Drosophila melanogaster: one gene and its partner. The protein of the gene in region 1 interacts with the protein of each later gene in a biochemical or structural test. Each region holds a gene or a part of one and is shown on either strand. Other genes may lie near its edges.

The links.
Region 2: of the proteins of eff (region 1) and CycD, one has a biochemical effect on the other in vitro, tested with the Drosophila melanogaster proteins (one study listed by BioGRID).

Annotation. Positions count from the first base shown.
Region 1 is NT_033777.3:14,738,083-14,743,239, forward strand, and holds the start of eff (effete), read right to left. Parts: upstream 3,238-5,157; 5' UTR 2,925-3,237; intron 2,859-2,924; 5' UTR 2,322-2,858; coding exon 2,298-2,321; intron 1-2,297. Other genes in the region: jvl (javelin-like), read left to right, coding at 4,096-4,509. UniProt on the Drosophila melanogaster protein: Catalyzes the covalent attachment of ubiquitin to other proteins. Mediates the selective degradation of short-lived and abnormal proteins.
Region 2 is NC_004354.4:15,906,260-15,911,743, forward strand, and holds CycD (cyclin D), read right to left. Parts: upstream 3,418-5,484; 5' UTR 2,851-3,417; coding exon 2,278-2,850; intron 2,060-2,277; coding exon 1,838-2,059; intron 1,775-1,837; coding exon 1,600-1,774; intron 1,541-1,599; coding exon 1,395-1,540; intron 1,333-1,394; coding exon 1,015-1,332; 3' UTR 563-1,014; downstream 1-562.

The DNA of each region.
Region 1 (5,157 bases):
CACGCACACAGCTGAGCGGCTCCCCTCCCTCTCTCTTACACTCCGACTCTTCTTCACTTATCACAGCTGCCCCACACACACACACTCCAAACGGGGAGAGAGAATGAGGTGTAAGGTAAACCGGCAAAAAAAAAGAATATATATATAAAAAGAATAATGAAGATGAGCTGCGAAAGAGTAGCGCGACTCAGTGGAGAAGTAAGAGGAGGAGCAGCAGGAGGAGGAAGAATGAAGGAGAGTGAGAAGACTGAGCTTCAGTGTATGCGTGTGTTTGTAACGGCACCACAAAATCAGAGTGGAGCACAACAAAAATAGCCGTCGCGAAAAACACCGTGTTTCTTTGCCCCATCTCACTTACTCATTTTGGGAATTGTACCTGTTGAGCAAAAATAAATTACAAGAAATTGTTACATTTCTTTTTTCGTTGGGAGTCGGAGCGGTTATGACTCATATCAGACGAACAAATGAAGTAAAAACAAACACGCACACTTGTGCACAGCAAGAAAATTCGATAATATTATCAATATTAGACCAGGTGCACTACCAATACAAACTTCTATTTAATTCTTATTCGAATAATTAATATTGTGAACTTTAAGAATTGGTTCAGTAAGACTAAATGCCATATGCATTGGTTCTAAAGCCCATTTCGTTCAGTGTACGGTTCAAGTGAGCTCCGATCGGCGTTTAAGCCGTTCTCTCTCGCTCTTTAACTCTCTTTTTTGGCAAATGAGGCCATCTAGAGAAAAAAGGCTTTTGAAGAATTGACCACAAAAAGGGGGCGTGAGTGATTTTAAGAGTTTACTACAATGTATACTTTTATTTCCGGTTTGCCGCTTGCCATTTCGTTTTCATTTAGGCAGGCATTAAAATGTTATAATGGATAGAAAACTACGAAAAACGAGGAAAACTCAATGGCCATGACGCCGACGCAGGCAGCGCTGCTTTTGTCGAGACAGTCAGCAGACCCCCGCCCCACACATTCAAACACAAATACACACCACGCTCACACATACGCATAGATATGAACAAATTCCGCATTCGCTGCTCATTTTGTATGTAAATTATGCTTAATTATAATTTATAACTAATTATTTGGGGGCCCCCTTTTGGCTGACGGTGTTTTGCAACACTAAGCCCCGCTAGCACTCACACACTTGCGCTCTCTTTGGCTCTGCCCCATTGCGCGAGCGGGACCGAATGAGGCCTCAGCTGTCGCGGGCAAAGGGAATGCGCCAGGGCCAGAGCGAGATGGCATGCAATGGCCATAGCCAAGTGATGGCGAGACTTTGTATTTGCGAGCGTTTTAATGTGTGTGTGTGTGGGGTATGACTATGATAACCGGCTTCAAACGTAAAAAAAGATCCCAATTTGCCAAGTAACATTTCCACAACTTCGAGATATTACTAATGCTTTTGAGGAAGGCTGGGATGACTTTGAAAAAATATCGGGTTGTCAGGGCCTTGAACATTGGGGTGTAAAAAAGCATTTACTGGACAAGGACAAACGACGCGCAGGCACTTTAAAAATAATTATCGAAGCACGCACGCTAGAACCACTCTACCTAAATACATATATAAATATATATGCTTGGGGGCAGCACTATTTCTGAATTATCAGCGCAAAAAGTAGGGTTAGGTTAATTTTATACGCTTCTTGCTTTTGCTCTGTTTTATTTTTTGCTGGATCTTTCTGCGGCGCTGGCAGTGTGTGCGTTTATGTGTGACTGTTGCGAGGCTGAGAGTGTGTGCGAGTGCCGTGTACAGCGTGTATTGGGTAACAGCGCCCGTAGAGCTGCGAAAACTCCGCCGTATAGTTGCATTAATGTAAATGCATCCAGGTGCCCGGCACACACGCACACAAACAATGCACATTTGCATTGCACTTTCACGCACACGCATCGCACACACACTTATCCCACACTCTCGCAAAAGTAACGGAAGCGATGACTGCACTACACGTTGCCTTGCCCACCACACACACACATCCTTATACCTTTTTCACCACCCTCAAAATTTCTAATCTGCTCCTAATTACTAACTTATTAATTAAATGGTAACTCCACAGCTCATTTTCTCCCTTCCCTCTTGCACGCTTCTTTCCCCCCGCTTCTTCTTTCTTCTCCTCGGTTACTACCTACGTTTCACATTTCTTGCATAAAATTTTTCTCCCGTTGAAAACTGATGTCTGTTCGCTTTTTTTTTAGACTATCATTTTGGTGTATCGCAAAGGGTTCTGTTCTTTCTTTTTTTAGTCCGTTTCGCAAAGTTTTTTGAGATATTCCTTTTTTCACATACCTTATTGATTCTTTTTAACGCCATTTTCTGATTGAAATTTGATTTTCTGGGTTGTGTGTGTGTTTGGTTGGTTGTGTGTGTGTTTGGTTGGTTGTGTGCTGGTGTTGGTGTCTCGCGTATTTCTTTTGTTCTTCGCACAGAATTGGGTTTTATTCAATATATAATCCTCCTGCTTAGAATTGAACGAAAAACGAAACACAAAGCTGCGTTGCGCCTCTAGAACTTTGATGCTTAAATATGGCTCTTTCGGTTGAGTGTCCCTTGTCACGAAATAAAGCAGCACCAGCGCACTGCAAGTAAAAACGGCGACCCGACGAAGACTACGGCGACGATTATTTTTTCACAATCAATGCGGGGCCTTTCGACCGTTTGTGCGATAGAGACGACCGTTAGTGAGCTGAGAACGCAACGAAGCACAATCGTTACACCGAAGTGTAAGCCCGAGCGAGAGGAATGGTGTGTCTGTGTCGTGTGGTAGTGTTGTGAAGCGGAAGTCCAGCAGAGCAGTCCAGCTATATGACCTTTTCGCTAGGGGTGGCCAGATCGATTGGGTGGCAACGCCTTTTAGGTGAGGGATGAATCAGTTAATTACAATTTGATTGCCAATGCAAGACTCTTCATACTCACTTTAGTTCGGGAACAGCCAGAAGAAATAGTTTTACCGGCAGCGAGGAGGTGTTATATTTTATTCGAACTACCTTCTTATCGATGGTGCGTGCGCCCAAAAGCTTGCAACTTGTATGTAAATTTGTTAACACCCAACGTGTTGCAGGCTGCCGGAATGTTTTTACTGAGCAATTTTGAGATGTTGGTAATCCGAGTTCTTGAAAACTTTCCGACTAGCTACTGAGTTCTACAACTGAATTGACAGGGCGTTATTTTAAAATTTAAATTCACTCCAGAGCGCTGGTCTGGCAAGGCCGACGTGCCAATTCAGGATACTTGTCGATATTTTCCGTTGTGCTATCGATAGTTTTTGGGAATAACAGGCGTTAGTAGATTTTTAGTATTTAGATTTTATTATCATAAGGATGAAAATATTTTTAACAAAATAAACTGGTTCATTTAATTTAACTTTTTATTTTCTCACTACTCCAAATGGCGCTTCCGCTGTCTGAAACTGCCGTTATAATAGTATGAACAGTTAAAACAATCGACGGTAGCTGAATTTAATCAATGCAGCCCTCTTACCCTATACATCGATAGTATCGCATAAACATCGATTTTGGTTCCAGCTCTAACTTTAACTGTCTGCAAAATATTTCAAACAAAAGTGTTTGTTAATTAAGTAATATACTTAATATTAGTGGCTGTTTTGCTTCGACATTGATCGAATTGCGGTTGTGCAAGTGTTTTGTTTGATTTGTTGGCGTGTTTTTCCTAGTTTGGCGGCCCTTTGAACTCGTTCGTGTATCGCCATCTCTCTCCCACCCCCGCAATCGGCTTCGTGCGTATTTTTTTGTGAATTTTTACACAGAACTCACACTTTTGTATGGCCCAAGAATTTGTACAATATTTTTGCACTTGAAAAACAAGAAATAATGAAGAAAGCCAAGATAAACGCGACGATGTGCAAGTGCTAATCATTCAGTTTTGGCAAGCGCTGAACTTCGCTGACTTCTTGAACAGCAAAAAAGATGGAGGAGGATAATGCCAAGGTCCTAAGTAATAACAACAAGAACAACAGAAACAACAATAAGGGACGCCAGCAGCTGCAGGGACACGCCCACAGCTCCGCCACCGCCCACGCCTCCGTCGATATATTTATATTCGATTTATAGTAGCTGTAGTTGTAGTCATGCCAACAACAAAAACGCAAACACAGACAACAACAACTTGCAGCGAAGAGGAAGAAGCGGCGATAATACGAGAAAATTGCGATACGCCAATGGCGACCCCAGCAAATGCAACAACAGCAAACACAACAACTGCAGCACCCATAACAACAACAACAACAACAGTAAATACGCGCAGACAAGAAGAAGCAGCAGCAGTAGCTTCCACACCTAGTGTTACGAAAACGGCAACAACAACAAACATACTAGCCGCTGCAGCGGGATGCCACAAGCCGTTATTCTTCAGCCGCCGCTTTCAGGACAAACGGAACTTTAGCTCGCTACCGCTCTTCGTCTACGCGACCTCGCCATCAACGCACGCCCACTCAGCGGACGGAGTAGGCGTGGCCAAGGAGGCAGCCGCGTTTTGCCACAAGGTGAGTTTGTTGCACAAAGAACCAGATAAACTTGTAATATTAGGAGAACAAGGAACTTCTATAATTGCCAATCAAATATAATATATCCCCTTTAAGTTATGTATTATAAAATGTAGTATTTTATTTAAACTTTGATAATGCCATTTGTATGTATTTAGATTTAACCCCAAAACAGGAAAAGAAAACCAAAAATAAAGAATTCTGGTTGGAACAGAGAGTTTCCAGTTCGAGGGATTCGTTTGGCATGTCACAGAATTGTAATTGTAATAAAACCCCCATGGGTTTTAATACTCATTTTCTACCTTCCACTCTGCCATCTCTTTTTTTCGAGCAATCGCACCGCTCTTTCCGCTCTAAACTTGCGTAATGGATCACTTCCGCTGCACTTGCAACTTGGGTCGTGTCATATCTGAATATATAATTCCCGCCCAATTCATAGTTTAAACAGTAAGCTCCGCCTAAGAAGAACGCGCTAATAACTCCGTGGTTATACTTAAATGAGTTCTTGATCCAGATTATAAATTTAGATACCTAATATTCAAATAGATATAGCTTTAGAAAAGTTGTAAGTTTAGCATGGTTGGTTGTTTCGTTTGTAGCCACTAACTACTGTATTATATTTATAAACGTTCTGCTTGGCTGCCGCAG
Region 2 (5,484 bases), on another chromosome or scaffold:
GTATTTATGTATATGTAAAAAACAGTGCTGCTAGCTTCATAGTTTTCGTTTCCAGATGGTATTACATATATCCGTACATATATGATATTTCGAATCGCAGTGCAGGAGGCGGACGAGTGCAGGAATGCAATAAAGCCAGTATTTTTTTAAAGCTCAAAACAAAAACCGAAGAAATATCTAAAAGGAAAATCGTTAATTGCAGTGTTACAATGCTTCTACATTGATGGTAAAAAAAAAATCGAACTATGTACTCACTCTAAAAACTTGTATGAACTAAACTATCCTCAGAGCAATGAATTATATGCGAACAAATATTATTTAGCAACGCAATGTCCGCAAGAAATTATACAAAAACCTATTCAATGATAAATATTATGTGTGTGTTAAGGTTATGGTCTTTAACGATTCTTGTTTATAGACGTTTGTTAATAAGAAAATAAAGAAAAATTAAATTATTCGCATTGCCTTTAACTACTTGGATTCGTTTGGTAAGCTAATGCGATTTATCTGAAAGTAAATTATACGAAAATATACATACATCATAGAGGGCAGAGAAGAAATTGCTTTTTTCTATCATTTATTTGCCAACTTATATAATTGTTATCCAAAGTTAACTTTAACATATTGTTTTTCTCTTTATGTTGGATGGTTTTTAAAAAAATTGCATTTAATAGTTCGTTCTTTTTTGGTTATCTGTGTAGGATTTCGAAAAGCTTATATACAAAAAAAAAATGTTGCTTTGCTGCTTACAATCAGTCTCGTTTTTATGTTTCATCCATTTCAAAGTTTCATGATGATTATTTAAAACTATTTTATACAAAATATTTAGGATAGCTAAAAATAATAACCCATAGTTTGGTAAAAAATAGTTGCGTACATATAAAATACATCGATTCAAATGTAAATAGTGTGATATTGGCCAATCCTATAGTGATCGGACTATTTGGATCCTATATATAATTTCAACTTAAGCCTGACATAACTATCATGTATGCATAACTATCATTTGACACCTCAAAATGTAACGTCTTGTATCTCGTTTTGAGCCTGAGCCTGCGCCTGCATCTTGCACGTGTGCGTCCGATGTGGCGCTGCGGACCCAAAGTTGTGCTGCTGCTGGTGTTGCTCCACGCACTCGGCAGGAGCTTTCGGTAGCGGCAAGGGTCTAATTGAGATTTGCGAGAGATGCTGCGATTGATGTATTTGGAAGCGCCTCTTGTAGTATAATGTTGACATTTCTTTTGGGTCAATATTCACTAGAAATGGCTCTAGATTCCGACTGTGCTCCTTAAAGATGTCCTCCATGTGCAGCATACAATCTCGCACCTGAGCCTGTGCATTTAAAATCAATTGAGTGGTGGTACATAACAACACTGCTCCCTTGCCATACTCACTTGCTCCACGCTGGTTAGATCGGTCATCAGACTCAAAAGGAAGTGTAGATTGTGTCCCGATCGCAGATGCCACTTTAGGCCATTCATTGACGCAGCTATGCTCGATGCAGCTATGGTGCTGGCCGAGAACTTGGCAAACTTATGTTCTTCAAAGGAAGGGGTGGGAAGTCAGTACTTAAGTTGGACTGTTTTGTATATGGCTTACCTTTTGCTGCCAACGATATAAATGCCTGAGCATGTCCCCGCACTTTGCCAATGTTTATGTCCGGAAAGTTTTTGCTGCCTATCGGCAGGCGCATCATCAGAAGCTCAAGGAAGTCCAAGGGAGTCACAGATGAGAGGTCCCAGCCCAAGCGACTTAGCACATACAGCTCCCATTTCTTGGGAATGAAATGAAACCGCATGTTCACCGAAAGGTATTGTATTACGAGAAAGGTACTTACAATCAAATCATCCTTGTAGATGCTGTTGTCCGTGTAAACAACGAGTAGATCCACCGAAAGAGCACGACAGCTGGGTTCACGGAGCTTTGAAGCCAGTAAGAGGCAAGCTGCGGCCAAAATTTGTAGCTGGGTCTTGCGTACTGATTTGCTCGAAAGAAATCGATCCATGTAATTTAATGCCAGTAATACGACCTCTTCCTGGCAATTTTCCTCGGCACACACCTGTGAACATGTATTCAATTAATGAACGAAAAGGGTAGTCAAAATATTGTAATGGGTGTGCGATAAGGACTACTAAAACAAACACTAATTAATGAAGTTCTTGGAAACTTCCATCTATTTGGTAATATTTTCTAACAGATTATAAATAATGCGTATATCACAGTCGGCTAGCTTGATATGATTTGGATGCTGTATCTACATTTCGTTTAATTACTCACTTCCATCATCCATTCGGCGACAATTTTGCGCATCGGTGGCGTAATATCCTTCTGGATGCTAAAGTACGTGTCGGGAATTTTGTGGTGCTTCTCCTCGACCTTGAGGAAATTCTCCAGACACCGATCCGAATACAATGTGGGATCCCCGATGGCAGTGTTCACGTTGTCGGTTGCGGGTGGATCGGCTGTTGTGGTCAGGCGTTCGTCGAGTCGTTGGCAATGTGACGTCGGTGGCTCCTGGCTGATGTAACGCGGATAACTTTGGATTGATTGGGTCGCTGTCGGTGGTGGTGGCGGCGGTGGTGGAGGTGGCGGAGGCGGCTCCAATTGTTCTGGATTTTTCGCAGCCGAGTCCACGGACGCGTATATATACACCAGCTCCTTCATATTGCACACTACGGCATTGTTCTGGGCATCCGGATGGGAATCGGATTCCGCGTCCCCCAAGGATGAACATATCGATGATTGATCCCGAATGATCGCCGGTGAGGACATTTGCTGCTGTCGTTTGTTCAAACGATACAATGATGGATCTGATTCGTAGACTATGATTTCCGAGCATAAAAGATCCATTATATCGGCCATACGTTCCGTTTAAAGCTATGGATTCTATGGATCGCCGCACTCTCAAGCCATTTATGTGTGCCGATTTATCAGGAACTTTGGGTAACTCCGATATGGGAACACTGCGTACAATAGGAAATGATCGTACATAAGTACATACATACATATGTATGTTGCAACCTTCTTTTCACATTTAATTCAAGTATTTGCTCAAGTATGGGCACACTGCGGGCATATGTGTTTAGTCCTGTGGGAGCACTAGAGTATAGCATATAACCCTAATACCTTGACTTATTCATATGCACATTACATTATTTACATATTTTTTCGACCTGCTCAGAAATAACTCGTTCATTTCACACTATGTACTTATGTACATGTACATGCATGGCTATGTACGATCAGCTCGAGAACAAAAGTTTTCACTTACGCCTATTCTCGGAATTCTGGTTATATACAAACGGCACAGCACTTCATGGAGTAATGTAAATTAACTATTAAAAAAGTATACTCGAAGTTGCACACGTTTGCCACTTAACCGGCGTGGACAAAGCATTTATGTGAACCAGATAGTTACACCTTATGGCAGAAAAAAACTAGTTCAGCATGCCGTCATCGGAGTTATATCTCTTGCTCACTGCGATCAGTAAAACATATCGATCTTCATCGGTTATTAGTATAGTACTATCCTTTGCAATGAAAGGCAAGCGAAATACGTTGAAAAGGGGAACCTCCTCATTGCGTTTCCAACTTGTTGCTTGTGAAATATGTTTCACTTAGGGTTGTTATTAGAACATTAAAAACTTATAATCCATCAATGGGTTTGATGGACTATAAAAGGGTCTTACCCTTATAATAAAAACAAAGTTCTTCTAATTGCACTACTTTTTTTCTTAAATAAGCTTTTTGTTATACGATCTTACGAACTTACTCTTGATGTGAATTTCACATCACTCAAGTGTTCCAATTACTCCAGCAAAATCAAAAATACTAAAATATGCTAGGGCGTTGCCACCCTGCATTCATGTAAGGATGGTACTGACAGTCGATCTTTCGGCATGTCATACATTTAACGATCGTGGTCCACGACAAAATGGTCAGTAATGCAAAACTCACTGGCATCACCCTACTAGGTTGAATCGTGATCAAAACACCCTTATTAAATTCCGTTTAAATGGCCGGAACCTGTTGATTAAATGGCAGGTTGTTCGAAAGAGTCGTAAATAAATGAATGCTGCACTTAAAGATCCTGTACCGCTTACAAAAAGCATTGAACTGCTGTTATTTTCTTTAGGGTTGTACTTAAACAGTTTTAGATGACAAACAGTAAGACATGTAAGAAACCTAAAATAATTTCACTAAAAAAATTCTAAAAGCAATTGTAAAAAAAAGATATAATCTTTGCTGCTTTGTTTAATAATTAATAAGATATTGATAAAAGGGTAAAAAGCTTTCGCGACTTAGGAATGCCAGGTTAATGATAAACAAAAGTAACCTGTGGATCCCTTCCGAGAAATGATGTACCGATATATGTACACATCGAGATTAAAATGGACTTCCATGTCCATTGTCCTAATTTCGGTGCTGCAGTTTTTTGTTGTTTTTTAGGAAAAACTGCAGCGTGGAGAATGCTTTCAATGATACAATCCTTAATTGGGTTCGCATTTTGCTAACTTAGTTGTTGCAAATTAATTTACCCTCACTCTCGGCACACAGACAAAAGCTCGCTTCCCAGAAAAAGCTTAAGGATTCAGAGAAAACTTTGAAACAGCACACGAGAGTTGAGTGGAACACTCGCGTCCGCCGACTTCGCTTTCCGTCAGAGGGATGCTGTAATCCCCTGAAATTTTATATTCGTTATATTCCCGAAGAAGACAAGAGACGTGCTGTACGAAAATAATTTTTCATTCACGTAAATTACCCACACAAATGTGTGTGGAACAATTAGCTGATTCAATTGTTCTCGCCCGCCACTTGCTAATTGGAATCGAAAAGTGTCAAAGTTTCAGGAGGTTCTTTTTGTTTAATAATACTGTGTTTAATATGCATATGTTCGCGTGTGTGGTGCTCATGACATACATACATAAATGCCAACAAAGTCCCAAATATCGCATTCATTTGCGAGGGGACTTCGCAGGACGTTATAAACACCTTTATACCACATTCTGGAAATGCCAAACGCAGTGCCAAGCCCACGCAACTTTATAATAGGATATACATTGAATGAAGTAGTGCCATGAATGCCGTGCCGCATGATATTTGATCCATTCACGGAGTCGGTCCTGGACCTACAAAGTCACAATAAACCTTCTGTTTAGTGAGACAGCGTAATGTGAAAAATGTTGAGGACGTACAAGCCAGGCATTTAAATTTATTAACTTACAATAAACATTTATGTAAATCATAAAAAACCCAGTGACACAATAAGTAAATAACAAAGACCAGAAGTAACCAAGTGCTTACAAATAAGATGAATAGAGTAAAATCTATTGAGTGACACCTACGCAAAGAACGAGTGTGCTTAAGTGTAACATATACACAACATATACATCAGGTGGGCGGGTTTTGCGCATAGTAACCCCCCTCCCCCAAGCCCAAAACTTTGCATTAACTTTATATTGTCCAAAACCTAGAGACAAAAAA